2 linked regions of the Coturnix japonica genome follow. The protein of the gene in region 1 interacts with the protein of each later gene in a biochemical or structural test. Links are inferred from orthologs where the notes say so. Each region holds a gene or a part of one and is shown on either strand. Other genes may lie near its edges.

Region 1 (8,443 bases):
TCCTGGCCCTCTTCCAGTGCCTGCTCAGGGAGAGGAGGTGAGAACAGTGTGAGTTCTGGGAAGGCATTATTGCACTCCCTGATCCCTTGTACAGGGAGGGCTGGGGGTCCAGCAGCCCTCAGTGCGCTGTGATGGGCTGAGCTGCCTCCTCTCCCTCCAGGACAGGCACTGGTGTTTCTTCTTGAGACGGGCGGTGTGTGCCAGGGCAAATGTGGTGCTGCTGGCTTCCACCATCTACCCAGTGGATGGTGCCATGTGGCACTCTGCTGTGCCTCCAGCTGGAGGGACTGTCTGTTGTCCCCTGGCCATCCTGCCTTGGGTGTAAGGCTTAGTGGTGGGCTTGCACTGCCTCTTCTGCCCCAGAACCCGTGCTGCAGTGTGCTCCCCACCTCCTCCTTCCCAGTGATGCTGCTGCTGGCTGTGGGCAGGGCTCCTGCTGCCTGTGTCTCTCTGTGTCCTGCCAGTGGTTTTACCCTATGGTAGGTTACGTCATGCTGTTCTACCACAGGGTAGAACCACGGACGGGATGCCGGGGCTGCCTCTGCGTCCGAGGACTGCCAGTGGTGGGGGAGCAGAGTGAGGGCTGCGCCTGTTCTGCACTGCTTTGAGTGGGAAACTGGGGGGGGGGGGAGAGGGTTGTGGAGAAGGATAGCTGGTGTTTGTGGGCACTGTACATGTGTGCACAGGCACATGTGCACGTGTTTGACAGGCTGGTTTTTCCTTACTGATGTCTTCAGAGGCACTTTGCGGCTGGGTCCTGGGCTGCACAATACTCTCAGCAGGGCTCAGTGCCTGCCCTGCACCCCAAGGAGCTGGGCACTGTCTGTGCAGCCATGTTTCATGGGCACAGGGCTGTCCCCACTGCTGGGACAAAGCCTCCCATAGCAGACCCAGGTGCTGATGTCTGCTCACCACTTTTCCCTTCCTCTTGCCCAGGGAGTGGTTCTTCCTCCTGTCCCACGAGGTGCTCAACCCCATGTACTGCCTCTTCGAGTATGCCGGCAAGAACAACTACTGCCTGCAGATCAACCCCGCCTCCTCCATCAACCCTGACCACCTCACCTACTTCCGTTTCATCGGACGCTTCATCGCCATGGTAAGAGCCCGGGGCCGGGGAGCCCTGCTTGGCATAGTCACCTTTTCTGAGCACTTTCTTGCTCAGTGTGTGCCCAGAGGAAGAGTGGCCATAGCAGCATGAGGTGACGTGTTGCAGGGCTGGGGCTGGCCATGAGGCTGGGGTCACAGTTTCCTGGGGCTGTGCCTCCAGGCTATTGGCTGCCACCCGGTGCTATCAGCTCTGCAGCCCTGGGGCTGTTTTTAGCCCCAGCAGTGTGAGGTTTTCCAGCTGCCCCTGCCTGGCTCCTCCTGTTGTTCTCACCCTCCCCAGGGCCTGGTGGGCAAAGGGCTGCAGTGGTACCAGATGGGGCAGGGTCTGCCCAAAATGCTGCGCCCTGCCCTGCCCCACGCCTTGCAGGATCCCAATAAAACTCCAGACTATTACTCACCGCTGGGCTGTTCTAGACAAGCGTCTGCATTATTTTTGGCTGCCTTTGCCTTGGGGCTCCTGGAAGCCAGGGATTCAGGGAAGCCACGGCAGAACTCTGTTTAAACAAGTGCTCTTAATAGAGCTGCGACGGGAGATGGAGATGCAGTGGAATTCATGGTGGGGAGGGGAAGGGGTTGCGAGCCCCGTGCTGTGGGTCCAGCCGTGGTCTGCAAGGAGCCCATCCTGGTCCCTCTGATCCCCATCTCCGCACCCTTTAGGCTCTGTACCACGGGAAGTTCATTGACACCGGCTTCACGCTGCCCTTCTACAAGCGGATGCTGAACAAGCGGCCCACACTGAAGGACCTGGAATCCATTGATCCAGAGTTCTACAACTCCATCATCTGGACCAAGTGAGTGCCTTGCACTCGGGGATGGTGGGGAGGGAGGGTGGGTGCAGTGCTCCCCCTGTGACCTCTCACATCCCGGTGCCCTCTGCAGGGAGAACAGCCTGGAGGAGTGCGGCCTGGAGCTCTACTTCATCCAGGACATGGAGATCCTGGGCAAGGTGACCACCCATGAGCTGAAGGAGGGCGGTGAGAGCATCCGGGTGACAGAGGAGAACAAGGAGGAGTACATCATGTGAGTCTGGTCCTGATGCCACATTGGGCACTTGGCTTCAGGGCAGCACTGGGTGGGAGCGTGGGGCTGGGGATGTGGCCCCTCCTTGGCTACGTGGCTTTGAGAAGCCCGAGCTGGCGCAGCACTGCACTGCAGTCTGGCTGCCTGTGGTCTGGGCGGCTGCCAGGGCTCTCAGGGAAGAGGAGAGGGGAGAGAGGGTGCAACTCCTTGCCTCGCCCCATGCTGCTCACTGGCTTGTGTATTGCGGGGCTGCTGGGGCCACTGTGGTGCTGCTGGTGATTCCCTGATGGCGACTGCTCAATAATCAGAGCCCACTTCTGCTTGTGGGCTGTGGGAAGCAGTGGGAGGGAATCGTGGAATCCTGAAGGGTGAAAGATGGTGAGGAGAGCCCCGGTGCCACCCACGGACTCCTACCTGCCTTTGCAGGCTGCTGACAGACTGGAGGTTCACTCGGGGTGTGGAGGAGCAAACCAAGGCATTCCTGGATGGCTTCAACGAAGTGGTGCCACTCGAGTGGCTGCGGTACTTTGATGAGAAGGAGCTGGAGGTGAGCGGGCCCTGCCCCAGGCCGGCCATTGTGGTGCCCATGGGGTGTCTGAGCTCTGCTCAGCCTCGATCTCTTGATTTCACCTATTGGTTCAGAGATGTGCCCACCCAAGGCAGCAGGGGCTGCAGGGCTGCCTGTTGGGTCTCTTGGTGAGAACTTCTCATCGGAGGTGCAGAATTCCCTTGTACGCTTTTGTTGCTCAAGCTCATGCCTTGCACAGCCCCAAAAGACTCAGTGCTGTGATGTGTGAACACGGGGCTGTATTTCCATCCCCCTGACTGTCCTCCATCCCCAGCTGATGCTGTGCGGCATGCAGGAGATCGACATGAACGACTGGCAGAAGAACACCATCTACCGGCACTACACCAAGAACAGCAAACAGATCCAGTGGTTCTGGCAGGTGAGCCCCAGAGCCTTCATGTGCCACACTCAGGGCTGGGCGCTGCCTGAGGCTGTGGGGTGATGGGGATCCTCCTCCCTGTGCTTGCAGGTGGTGAAGGAGATGGACAATGAGAAGAGGATCCGCCTGCTGCAGTTTGTGACGGGGACGTGCCGTCTGCCTGTCGGGGGCTTCGCGGAGCTCATCGGTGTGTGACCACGCTAAGGTTGGGTGGGGAGGGGGATGATGGCCATGCCTGGCTTTGGTTGCTGGGGCCAAGTGTTCACATTCCCATTGTAGCAGGGCAGTGATACAGCTGCAGTGACATCTGAATAAGGCAGTGTGGTTGGTGCTGTGCTAAGACAAATTCCTTGGGCGTTAGCTGTGCCACTGCAGTTAACTTTGTCAGCCCAGTTTGTAGCCTCATTTTGAATGAGATTTTAGTGGGTTTTTTTGGGGCATCTTCATGGTAATGGTGACGGAGCACTGGAACAGGTTGCTCTGAGAGCTTGTAGTCTCCTTCTATGGAGATATTCAAGACCTGTCTGGATGCTGCCTGTGTGACCTATTGTGGGTAACCTGCTTTAGCAGGGTGTTGGACTGTATGATCCCTTGAGGTCCCTTCCAACCCCTGTGACTCTGTGTTTCTGTTTATTTAATTTTAATTTTTTGTGCTATGAAACCCCTTTTTTGGAAAACCATATTGTGGCATGACTCTGTGCCTGCCCTTTAATTTGCTGCTTTTTGGGGCCCCTAGCAGCCTGCCCAGTGTCTTCCTGGAACTGATGTGTACCAGCTAACTTAACCCGTTCGGTTATCCTTACTGCCATATCAGCCTTTTTCCAGCCCCCTGAAGCCTGTCCAGGGCCATTTGTTAAAAGCAGCCTCAGTGACTCAGACCTCCTGAGCCAGGTCCCTGCAGCGTGCAGGCAGACTGCTGGGTCCTGTGGCTCCACAGATGTGTGTTTCAGCACTCACTGCTGAACCACCTGCCTTGCACTCGGTGCTGTGTCACTGCGTGCTCTGGAAAACACTGTTCTGCTTTTCCTTTGGATACTCATCCTCTCTGTAGAGGGCTCAGAACAAGCTTTGAGTACAGCTCTGGGTTTGTTGCCCCCACGTGCTGTAGGATCATAGGGCTGAGTCACTCTGCTGGCTGTAGGGCCAGGTCAGAGTTCTTTTTCAGCTCCTGATCATGTAATGAGATCGGTTCTGCTCACCATTAACAGGCAGCAACGGGCCTCAGAAATTCTGCATCGATAAAGTTGGCAAAGAGACGTGGCTGCCTCGGAGCCATACATGGTGAGTGGCTGCTGTGTGGGGCACATGGTGGTGTCCCTGTGGGGCTGCGTGGGGCTCTGGCTGCCCGTACGCCTTTCTCCCTTGGGATGGAGCTGCTGGGGAGACCTGTGGGAGGGGAACCCTGTGGTGGGGAGCAGGGTGGCAGCAGTACTGGGCTCCCTGCCCTGCTCACAGCGCCCTGTCTCACCAGCTTTAACCGCTTGGATCTGCCTCCCTACAAGAGCTACGAACAGCTGAAGGAGAAGCTGCTGTATGCCATTGAGGAGACAGAAGGCTTTGGCCAGGAGTGATGGAGCCCTGCTGCTCTCTCAGCAGCTCCGGCGGTGCTCATAGCACTGCTGCCTGTGGGATGGTGCGGGCGGTGCTGATTCTGTTCTTATTCCTGTATGAGGTCTGCACTCACAGCTCCGGGGAAGCATCCACGTGTCCCTCCCAACCCAAACTGAAGTTGGGATGGGGAAGTGGGGGTGAAATCCCGTCCCTGCTCAGCCTGGGGCTGAGGAAGGGCCAAGCCCAGCCTCGTGCACACAGTGTGCACCACAGCTCCCGTCCCCTCGCTGGGATGCTGGGGGGATGTGGGTCCTGCATGGGGCTTTGGGCTGCGCTCCCTGTCCCAGCGGCTGCTCCATGTTAGTGGGGTTGTCCCTGTTTGTGGGAAATCACTGTGCACCTGGAAATGGACACAAACAGCTTCTGACTGATGCGCTGAAGCCAAACCCCAGTTGTTATTCAGTTTGTTTTGCCCCTCTCCCTGTAGCAGTACCCAGCCCTTCCCCCTGTGACACATGCCACCAATGGACTCCAGCCCTGACTTAACGAGCCAGGCTGGGGCTTTTCCCAGACTTAGATGTGAGATCTGGTTTAGGTGTAGGCTATTCCCCTCTAATTTTTTCAGCCTTCCTGTGGCGTTTCAGTAGATACATTGAGGATGAGAAGGGGCTCTTGCGCTGCCTCAGGTGCTCATAAAGGTATGTGTCTGGCCCCTATCCTGCTCCCAGCAAAGTACTGGGGTGCAGGCAGGGCTGGGCCTGGCACCAAGCTCCACCCTGCTACTGTGTTCTGAGTTGCCAGCGTGCAGTGCAGCCCTGTGCTGTTTGGTATTTAAAGCACGTGCTGGGAGCTGGTGCTCTGCAGCTTGTGTGAGGCTCTACCACCCCCATCCTGTGCTGTGCCAGGGCCTTCCAGAACTGTGATAAGGGCAGGATCAGGCCCTGCCTGTGGCCCTGTTGTAGCCAGGGTGAAGGGCCGTGGTGTCCTGGCAGTGGTTCTAGGACAGGGCCTTGGTGAGCAAGCGTTGGTGTGTGTATATCTGTACATAAATGAAATCGTGGATACAAAGCTCTGCAATAGCTTCTGACTGGTGACCGGAGCGTTTTGTACTGCACCATTCTGCCTCAGTGATGCCGATTTCTTGTGCAATAAAAGACAAGCAGCTGCCATGGTGCGTCCCTGGCTGGTGTCACAGTGCAGGGACAGCCCCCTGCCCCCCCCAGTGGATGAGGCTGGAGGTTGGGGTACCCTCCATGCCCCTATTTCAGGAGCAGGGACAGCTCTGCTCAGAGCTGTGGCCACTAGGTTGGTTTCTATGAATACATACATACATTCCATCTGTTTTTCTGTGCACACACGGAGGCGCCTTCCTTGCATTGGGGGTCTGGCTGGGTACAGCGGCTGTCTGCCTCCCCCAGCCTGTAATCATGCTTAGTTAAAAATGGCTCTGGGCTGGCTGGCTGGCCGTGGTTCTGTGGCTGCATGCCCGCAGCTGGGTGCCATGATGAACATGTCCCCTGTAATTAGTGGGCTGCAGCCAGGGCGGGAGGGGTGGGTATGGCTGGCACAGCACAGTGGCACCACCCTCACGGGGATGCGGTGCCACTGGGGCTTGGATGCTGTCATGCTGTGTGTGGTGCTGGGACACAATGCTGACAGCTGTGAGGCAGCAATGGAAATCAGGCACATGAGCACAGCATCCCTGGGAATTGCAGCTCTTGGTTTTTTAAAAAAAAAGCAAAAATCCAGCAGCAGAACTAAAGAAGGCTGCTATTCACAGCACCAGGGGCCAGCCAGCACCCCATAATTTTGCCATCGCTTTGCTTTTCAGCAGCACTTGCGATGGGTTATTATTTCTTTAACAGACTGTACTTGTGCCAGTATGGCACAGCCCACTCCCGAAATTCATTTGCTATGGGCCGGGCTGCATTGCTGTCTGTCAGCCCCAGGCACTGACACAGCCCAGCCCACCCTGGATGTATCCATACACCACATACAGCCAGACCACAGCACCCAGTCACAGCAACTCGCTCCTTGTGGCAGCTTCTGCCACTTTGAGTCCATTTGTACAGCCATGTCATAACAAATGCAGTGAGATTAAAAGCAGCCAAAGCCCAGAGCACTTATCACTACAAAGGAAAAGAACCCAGCAGCAAAGTGACTTAGTTTACAAGATTTTTTTAATTTACAAATAAAAAAACTACACATTTTACTTTTTCTCTTTTTTCTCCTCTTTCTTGACATCGCTCTTCTCCTTGTCTTTCTCCTTCTCATCTTTCCTCTCCTTTTTACTCTCTTCTTTTTCCTGTCCTTCCTTCTTCTCTGCATCCCTATTGGCAATCTTGTTATTGATGAGGTTGTGCAGGGCAACCACTGAGCGGATAAGAGAAGCCAGGTAAACAACCACCATCTGGTCATTGGTCTTCAGGTAAAAGGCCTTGACAAATTCCTGCAGGTTGACGTCCGGTAGCAGGTTGAAGACATCCTGAAGGTGGTAAATGATCTGGTGATTGATGGGGAGCTTGCCCATGGCTACTTTCTCGAGGTAGCTCCTGATGTCCAGAAGCTTGGAGTTCAGTCCCTTCAAGCCATGGACCTGATTTGTGATCCGCTGGGACAGGGTGCCCACCGTGGTGTCCTTGATGTCTCTGAAACATGCGTAACAAAGATTCCACATTAGAATGTTTGCTGTGTACTCATCAACAAGCTGTGCAAGCTGTGTGTATTCACTAAGAGGTCTTCCCTGTTTAGAAAGAACGGCAGTCGCAAGAAGGGGTGAAGCACAACTAAGCAGAACACTTGAAGTCAAAGAATGAGATCAAACTGATTTACATTACAAAGTGTGTCTAAAATAGGTCGTTGTATGCTTTTGTGCAGAAATGCTACCTCTGGAATAGTAGTAATGATGTTAGGGGATAGAAAGAAAGAAGCCAACGGGATTCCCAGCAGGTGAAAAGGCTGTGCAGCATGGATGGGGTGACTGCTCTTTTCCTGGCTGGCAAGCTTTGCCAGTTTGTCAGCTGCAGCTCCAGCAGCTGTGCTCCCACTCAGTCCTGCTCTGCAATGTATGCAGGGGCTGAGATGGTTCCAAACCATGATATTCCAAAGCTTTGAAACTATGACAGTGTAGCTATCATTATTCTATGGAGATTCAGTGGGCAGTTACACTTTTCACTAGCAATGACTGAACGTGCCAAGTAGGACTGCTAAGGGAACACACTTTTAGCACATAAGCAACATGTTTCACAAGCCCTGCATTTCCTCCAGGGAGCTGGCACTGGGAGATGCCAGATGGACCACGTTCCCTGCTGTGCAAGTCTCACAAGAAAGCTCTCATCTTAAAGGTGTTTACCGTAACAAGTGTTCAACACCAACTTCCTCTGCCTCCTCCGCTCCGATCTCACTAGTCACGTGCTCAAACGTCTTGGAGGTTGGAGTGCCATCCTTTGAGGTGCACAAACACAAAGAGACAGGGTTAGGCAGTGTGCACAGCTGACTACAGGTACAAAGAGACAGAGTGGCCAGTACAGATGGCTCACCCTCAAACAGAGGGGAGATGTGAATAGTGCCAAAGTGTGTAAGATGGACTGAGTCTTGTTTGCATGACAGAATCAGGAAGAGGCAATGGGACAAATTAGGGCAAAACAGTATTGGGACTGAAGCATACAGGCCCTCACCAGTGAATGCAACATCACCTCTGCAGAGGGCAGATGAGTGCCATGGGATGTATATCTTTGTGAACATACAGGCATCCTAACACTCATCTTTCAATGGAAACCCTTTCCCTAGGAAGGCACAGAAAAACCTTTAAGTGCTCA
Region 2 (7,558 bases), on another chromosome or scaffold:
GTCACAGCAGGACAGCGGGTGACCTCTGTCCTCTGTATACCACCCCTGTGATGTCCCATCCCTATGTGTGCCGCCCCTACCTGTGCCATCCCATGTGCCCCAACCCCATATACCCCATATGCATCCCCTGTGTGCCACCCCTGTGGTGTCATACAAACTGTAAGGGGTCAGGAGAGCCTCCATGTGAAGGGGGGGGCACAAAAATGAGAGAGGCTGAAGGAGGGGCAGCAGGAGGAGGGGAAGCAACTGGAGGAAGGTTAATTAACAGCAGCTTTTGCAGTGTTTTTTTAATGAGGTCCAAAAACAGCTGAGAGGGGAAAAAATAAAGAGCTGAAAGCAACATTGTGTTGGGATGGAGCAGAGGGTGGGAGGGGGCACACCAAGACCTCCGGGATGGGTTATGCTATGGGTCCTGTGCTGCTTCCTGCACCCCTATGCTTGGGGATGTGGTCAGTGGAGATAGGAGGATGGTTGTGGTCAGGCATGGGGATTTCAGAGCTCCTCTCCAGCCCAGTGATCACTGAGGTGCACCTCTGCCATTGTCCCTCGCACCTTGATGCACTCATCCATTGATGGATGCAGTGCTGATATTGAGACACTGAGATCAGAGTGTGATGGAGTGTTAACAGCGGCAGTGGGTGTTCACTTATGGGTGATCTGAGTGGTCCTCTCCAACCTCAATGATTCCATGATCCCATGGTGTAGGGACACAGAAGGTGACAAAGCAGATCCCAGTCTGGAGCTCTGTCTTCCTGCAACAAGAATATGCCTCAGGTGAAAAATTCACCTTCTGAACTTGGTGTGACCCCCATCTCTGAGTTTTGGTGCAGGAGCAGCAGGGGTGACAGTGCGAAAGGTCCATCACAGAGCATCCCCAGAGGCTCAGGTTCATTGCATCACCACTTTGTGCCCTTTGGTTCTGCAGCAGAACCCAAGGACTCGCTGCCCACAGCCCCACACCCATGAACTCTGTCCACACATTGCTGCCTCACTCCCACTGCCATCAAGAAATCTGGATTCCCTGATGTCACCCATGCCCCAGAGAATGCCTTGACACCAGGTTTCTGCTTGCTTTCAATGGGCACCTGGTTGCAATAGGGCTCTTTTCAGTTTTCCTGCTCCTTCAGGCTCTCAGTTTGCCTTGCTGATGGGAGGTCAAGATTGTTTTCTGACCTATTCATCCCTGGACACTGGCTTTGAAATGAGCTGATGAGCCCAGGAGATGTGTTATACCCATGAGTTACATCCATGTGTTATGTCCCTTCGCTGGTCGAGTGATGGGATCTGGGACTCACCTGCTCCTTAGTTTTGTAGGGTACTTTGAGCAAGACATTTGGGGCTGGAATGAGATTTTCCCCACATTTTGAGCACATTGACATGGGCATTCTCATCTGGCCAGCTGCAGGGAGTAGCTGGGACCAAACTCATCCTAGCTCAGGCACCATAGGGCCTGGTGGCACTAGGGGTCCATCCCAGACCTGGTACCTTCACCCAACAGACATCTCCATGAGCCCCTTCTCCCAGTGATGACTCCATGGGTCCTCTTCACCCTGTTGATGTCTCCACGGGTCCCTTCACCCAACGGATCTCTTCATGGATCCCTTCACTCAATGGTGACTCCATGGGTCTCTTCACCCAATGGATGTATAAAATGGATCCTTTCAGGCAATAGACTTGTTAATAATCTGTGAGACAAGAGCCCATTAATTCCTTGGAGTCCTCAGGGCAGATGGGGAACGAGTCCCATACAGAACATTATCCAAATACAACAGGGAGCATGGCTCTGCCCCATGGAAACCACTTGCTCCAAAGATCTCAAGACTATGGAGACTTCCCTCTTGTTTGCTGACAGTTTGAGCAGACTCCACATATATCAGCAGAAAGCAACATGCTTTAACCCTTCTTTATTGCACTCTTTAATTACCACTTGGCAACATGAGGAAAAAGGGCACAATCGTGCTGTAATTTACAGTGGTGCAGGATATCATCAGGACATTTTAATGCCAGTTAATCTGGAGCCACGGTGCAGAGCAAGTTTACAGCTCACCAAAAAGGACTTTTTTTTCACTGAAAAGGGTACAAAAAGGACTGAAAAGGGACTAAAATTAGCTCAGCAGGAAGTGAAGTCTGGGACACTTTAACTCAAGCTGCATTAGTATTGAAAAGCTGTAGTTTTGCTGATTATCTCTCAGCCTTCGGACATCAAACAGTGATGCCTGGTCTTATATTTTTACAGATGAGACTAAGAGGCCCCATACAATGAAGGGCTCTTTGGGGTGTTTCAGCTCATTCTCCATCACCACAACATCCAACCTGGCAAGCCACGTCCGACCAAAGGTCCAAGTTCCTAACAATGTTCAAACCAAACCGCAACCAAAGATCCAACCAAAGATTGAAACAAAAGTCCAACCAAAGCTCCAAACAAAGGTTGAACCAAAGGCCCAACCAAAGATCCAGCCAGCACAGCGCTTCTCCTGCAAGAGGCAACTGCTCAGGACAAGGTGCAAAATGGGATGTGCAGAGGATCTCCCAACCCCAGAAGACACTTGTTCCTGGTGAGCAGTCACAGCTGAGTTTTGCAATGATGTCCATTTTATCCTTCATCTTCGGGGCCTTCGGTGGGGGGTACCATGGAATGGGCCAGAACATTTTTCCTTGAACCTCTTACACAAACCATCATTGCTGGTTTGACCACTGGTCATGTGAGGTTATTGAGTGTTTCATGTCTGGTGGACGGAACGGAAAGGAAGTGAGGCAAATTGTACTGTAGATGAAGACACACTAATGTCTGCCCTCTTGGTCACCTTCAGGGCACACCAAACAAGACGGGTGGGTACAAACACATGATCCAAAACCATTTTGAAGCTGGTTGGTGGGCTCGGTGAAAGGAATCCAGATGAAGGTATAGTCCATTCAGAGCAGACTCTATATCTCAATAAATCCCTTTGGGTGGGGAATGTTGAACAGAAAGGTGCAGCGTTGGGTGAACCCGCTCTTGATGCTCACAATGACTCCTCAACTACCGCATCTGTCCACCACATGAAGGCCAATAGGATCCAAGACACAGATGCTGCACCTCTCCAAAGCCCTCAGGCTCCACAGGGCCAGCAGTTTCCACTCAGAAACTTTGGTGAGCTTCCACCAAAGGTAGGAGCTCAATCAGCTACAGGAACTTCTGCTGAGGACACACTGGATGCGATGCAGAGCTCCAATCAAAGCCATGGACCTGCGGAGCAACCCAGATGGCACGCTGGCATAAAAGCCATCGTATTTTAGGGACAGGATGATACAGGATGAACACTGGGCTGCTGCCATGGGGGTGAGCTCAACCTGAAACGACAAGCAATAGGAAAACCCCTCACGCTGCTCCTCCACACCTCTAACAAAGCCACTCCGCACCGAGGGTCAAGTGTATGTTTTTATTTTTTTCATGGAACATAAAATCCTTTAGAAAAAAAACAAAACAAAACAAAACATTCATCTGGATGAGAACACCCATAGAAAAAAACCACCAATCTCATGTTCTTTTCTTTTTCTTTTTTTTTTTTTTAATTTGGCATTTGTTATTTGCATTTATATTAAAGCAAAGTGCATCTTCTCTTATTTTTCTCGTTTATACACATTGCACAATACATAAATAATGATGCTTATAAAACGTCTTTGTATTTACAAGTAATAATATATTTATATATAACATAAAATACATTTTTTTTTCCTCTTCTTTAATAAATCTCAGGTTTTTTTTTTCTTAAGAAGTCCTTTTTTTGTGTGTCTGTGTGTTTTCTTTCCAAAGCACTACGATGCCAAAGTTCCGATGAGAATGCTCTCTTGTTCATTTAAACCTTTGTACTTAGAAAAATAGCTTATGTTAAGGTCTAAACATGCTCATTGAGCTAAGAACAGTGTAAAAGTATCATACGTGTGTATGAATTCAAGAAGAAATGAAAGCACAACGGCGTCTCCAGATACGATGGCACTGGGATAACCTGATCCAACAGGTTCCGACAGACCAACTACCCTCGACGCTTTATATTCCCCATATTTCTTTTGTTTTTGTTTTGTTTTGCTTCATGTTGTTTTTTTTTGTAGTTGTTTTGTTTTTTATTCCCTAGGCTTACTTCACAACTCAGCTCCAATTGCAAAGCGTGGGCCACGCGTGGTTTCTTCGTTGTCGTTTTCTCCTCTTGTATCAATCCTTGATGATATAAAACACCATGGAAAGATGGGGGGGTGGGATGCGAACCCAACAACAGCGACGACCCAATGAGAAAACTCAATGGCAAAAACGACACAGGTAGGGTAAGACCTGGTGGGAAGTTTGTGCACCGCTGCTGGGGAAGGGTATCAGTTGGGTGTCACCAACATTGGGATGGGGGGAGGGCATGAAAAATACAGGGATCCCACCACGCTACCCAAGAACAAGTGGCTCCCAACCCACTCATCACACAGGATAATCCTTTGGGAAGTGGGAAATGATTATCATATGTGATCTGCCCCACATGCCCTCCTTATTGGTCGTTTGCACTTCTAAAAAATAGCTCTATTTATCAAAATACCCGGGCGAAAATCTTTCCACGAGCTATTTCTCAGAATGGGGGAGATGCGTGGCGGGGGGTAAAAAAACAACAACCAAAACGAAACAAAAACAAAAAGGTTGCATGAAAAGCAAGCACTCAGAAGGAAGTAATAGCAGCAAAGTAGTATAAATGTCATGAGTCCGCTCCGTCTCGTGTCATCGGTTATTAAAAATAACCTCTAACCAGCACGGGCAGCTGCTGATGAACTGCCTGGTGTAGCACTGGCCCCAGCCCTTCACAAAGCTGATCTGCACGGTAAATCCAGTCCATGGCTGCTGCGTGAACTCGTGGTCGTTTGGCCTCTGCAGGCTGTACGCCTTCTCATAATCAAAAGCCTTGATGGAAAAACCCGGGAACACTTTGTGCACCAGCAACGTCCTGGAGTCGGGGTTGTCCAGTGTGGCCGACTTGATGAAGATGGGGTAGCTGCTGCGGTTGTAGACCCACACGCCGTCCACCTCCTTGGTGAGCTGGATGCCGTACCCGATCTTGCTGCGCACCTTCTGCACCAGCTGGCTTCTGTTGTCCGAGTTGAGCTGCCCGAGGCAGAAGCCGTTCCCCTGAGGTAGATCATAGAAGATATCCAGGGAGGGCTCTTGGACAGAGTACAGCCGACCCACGCGCGTCTTCTCTTCCCAGTATGCCACCACGCACCAGTGTGAGTGATCCCCTGACTCCTGAAGAACTTGTGAATCTACGGGGGGAGACAAAAAGATGGAGAAATTGAGGACTGTGGGGGCATTCAGATACCAAAGTGATGCAATGTCATGAGTTCCACCCCTTCACGGTGCTCTCCACACATACCCTGACAACCTCAGCACCCTGGAGTTGCCCATGGCCAGGCAGGATGGGGCCTTGGGCAACCTGGCCTGGTGGGAGATGGCACTACTCATGGCAAGGGGTTGGAATCTGGGCGTCTTTAAGGTCCCTTCCAACCCAACCCAATCCATCCATAATCTCTGATGTCCCTTCCAATCCAAACATTCTCCACTTCAGTGCTCTTCAAGGACCCTTCTAAACAAACCATCCTCCAGTTCCATGACCTTCAAGGTCCTCATTCTGTGATTCCACTGTTCTGTGATGATTCTATGATCACTGAGCCTACCAGGGGTGCAACCAAACACCCTACAGTCCATCTCCAGGAACAAATTATCACCCACTGTGCAGAGGCAGCATGATAAAACAAGACATAGTTCCAAAAGCAGCTCAAAGGACACCACCCCTGGGCTCAGCTGCCCCATTTTGAGGCTTTCATGGAGCCAGGTGAGGGTGAACCTAGTGGATAGCAGCAGGGTGAAGGCCAGAAGCTGTGTGCTGTTAAGAAAAGCCACCCCAAAAACCACAAAAGCCACCCAAAACTTAGTTCCCTTTGCCCTTATCTCGACTCCATCCTCTGGAAAGGGGTTTTGACATCAGGGGAAGGGGCCAGGGGGGCTGAGTAGCACCAAACCCCCTTCCTCAATGCAGCATCCGCACCCAGTGCTGCTCTATAATCCCTCATGGCCTTTGCACCATGTTGGGACCTGGGAACCATTCATCTCTATAACTGCACTTAAAAATACCAAAATGCAACCAGGCTGCAGGAAAGTATGGGGGTGACCCAGCAACACCCCCCTTCCCTCACACCCCACCCCAAGCCTTAATGTCACTATCTTCAGTATTTTCTGTGTCGTTCACCTATGACTTCTTGCTGCTCCTCCAGCACAGGCATTTTTTATATCAAAAACAACAATAAAAAGCAGCTCCAGAACCGGCAGCCTTGCAGTGCTCATTATTTCCTCATTTCAGTGCCAGCAAGGAACAGAGTTCTGCAGTCACACACAGCCATGGGGGGTCATGGCCCCATAAGGAGAGTGTCCCAGGGGGATTGGGAGGGGAGGGGTGCAGCAAGAAACACCCCTGGGAGGGTGTTTTTCCACTCCCCCTCCCCCCAAAAACCAGAGCCATGTGGGGTGATGTAAATGCTGCTGTGCCCTCCCCGCCCCCCCTTGCCGCACCCTCCCCATGGGCTTGTTTTTTATTTACTTTTTCATTTTATATTTGGTATTTTGAGATGTTTTAACTCGCCGTCTGCTTGGAGAGTCGGGAAAGCAAAGCTAGGTTGTAAAAATAAATAAATATAAAAATCCAACCCCCACCGACTCTCCCCCTCCTGCTATTATCCCCCATAGTAAGTGCAGCCACTGCAGCTCACACGCGTTCTGCTTTACAGCAGTGGAGGGAATTTTGTAGAAGCTGTTGAACCCCGCTAAAATCCCTCTGTTTATTTTCTTTAACATAAAAGCATCCCTTTCAGGAGTGGGCGGGGAGGGGGGAATAGGGGCAGAAAGGCCTTTTTCACCCCCTGTTTGAGCCTGCGTTTGAGAAGACCCCTTAACGAGCGGCTCTGCCCAGTGTACAAAGAGGTATTTAATTGCATTTTAAAAAAATATATTAAAAAAAAAAAGCAGAAGCCAACCGCCCTGGCGATGAATGAACAGAGCTCTGTGGAGGGCTGGAGCTCATGAATGAATCCCACTCGGGTTTTCAATGGCATGGGGTGAGCAGACCTCACGGACAAGGCTTAGGTAATCCGGGATTCTGGACCGCGCGGTGTAAATACGGCACAGCGCCTTCCGCCCACGAGCTCCACTTTTGGCTGGGTTGTCTGTTCCAGCAGCCATGGGAATCACACAAGGCCAGGCCCTCTGCCAGCCCCAATGGTGCTGCTTCTCACCACTGCCGGGACCTCCCTGCTCCCCTCTTTTTTTGGCACCGGTGTTTCCCACTGAATGAATGAATGGGAAAAGCCAATGGCGTCACCGGGGCAAGAGAGCAGGTCATAAGAAAGAAGGAAAAACTGATGAAGTGATGCTGTTGATGGACATTTGATCCCCAAAAGGCTCTCTATGCTCTGTGGCAATGGCCACAAGCATAATGAGGTGTGAGGATGGCCCTGGAGGTGGCCAAGAACTATAGAGATGAGGCAACTGTTGACACAG

What was found. The genes of interacting proteins can lie anywhere in the genome.
Region 2: the proteins of WWP2 (region 1) and SMAD7 are reported together in a solved structure, tested with the Homo sapiens proteins (2 studies listed by BioGRID, with this or other methods). The link is inferred for Coturnix japonica from reciprocal best matches to the Homo sapiens genes WWP2 and SMAD7.

Annotation. Positions count from the first base shown.
Region 1 is NC_029526.1:17,009,055-17,017,497, forward strand, and holds the end of WWP2 (NEDD4-like E3 ubiquitin-protein ligase WWP2), read left to right. Parts: intron 1-936; coding exon 937-1,096; intron 1,097-1,764; coding exon 1,765-1,898; intron 1,899-1,986; coding exon 1,987-2,127; intron 2,128-2,553; coding exon 2,554-2,674; intron 2,675-2,969; coding exon 2,970-3,074; intron 3,075-3,164; coding exon 3,165-3,261; intron 3,262-4,282; coding exon 4,283-4,355; intron 4,356-4,545; coding exon 4,546-4,645; 3' UTR 4,646-5,792; downstream 5,793-8,443. Other genes in the region: PSMD7 (26S proteasome non-ATPase regulatory subunit 7), read right to left, coding at 6,835-7,273, 7,978-8,069. UniProt on the Homo sapiens protein: E3 ubiquitin-protein ligase which accepts ubiquitin from an E2 ubiquitin-conjugating enzyme in the form of a thioester and then directly transfers the ubiquitin to targeted substrates.
Region 2 is NC_029547.1:1,106,336-1,113,893, reverse strand, and holds the end of SMAD7 (mothers against decapentaplegic homolog 7), read right to left. Parts: intron 5,272-7,558; coding exon 4,733-5,271; 3' UTR 3,406-4,732; downstream 1-3,405. UniProt on the Homo sapiens protein: Antagonist of signaling by TGF-beta (transforming growth factor) type 1 receptor superfamily members; has been shown to inhibit TGF-beta (Transforming growth factor) and activin signaling by associating with their receptors thus preventing SMAD2 access.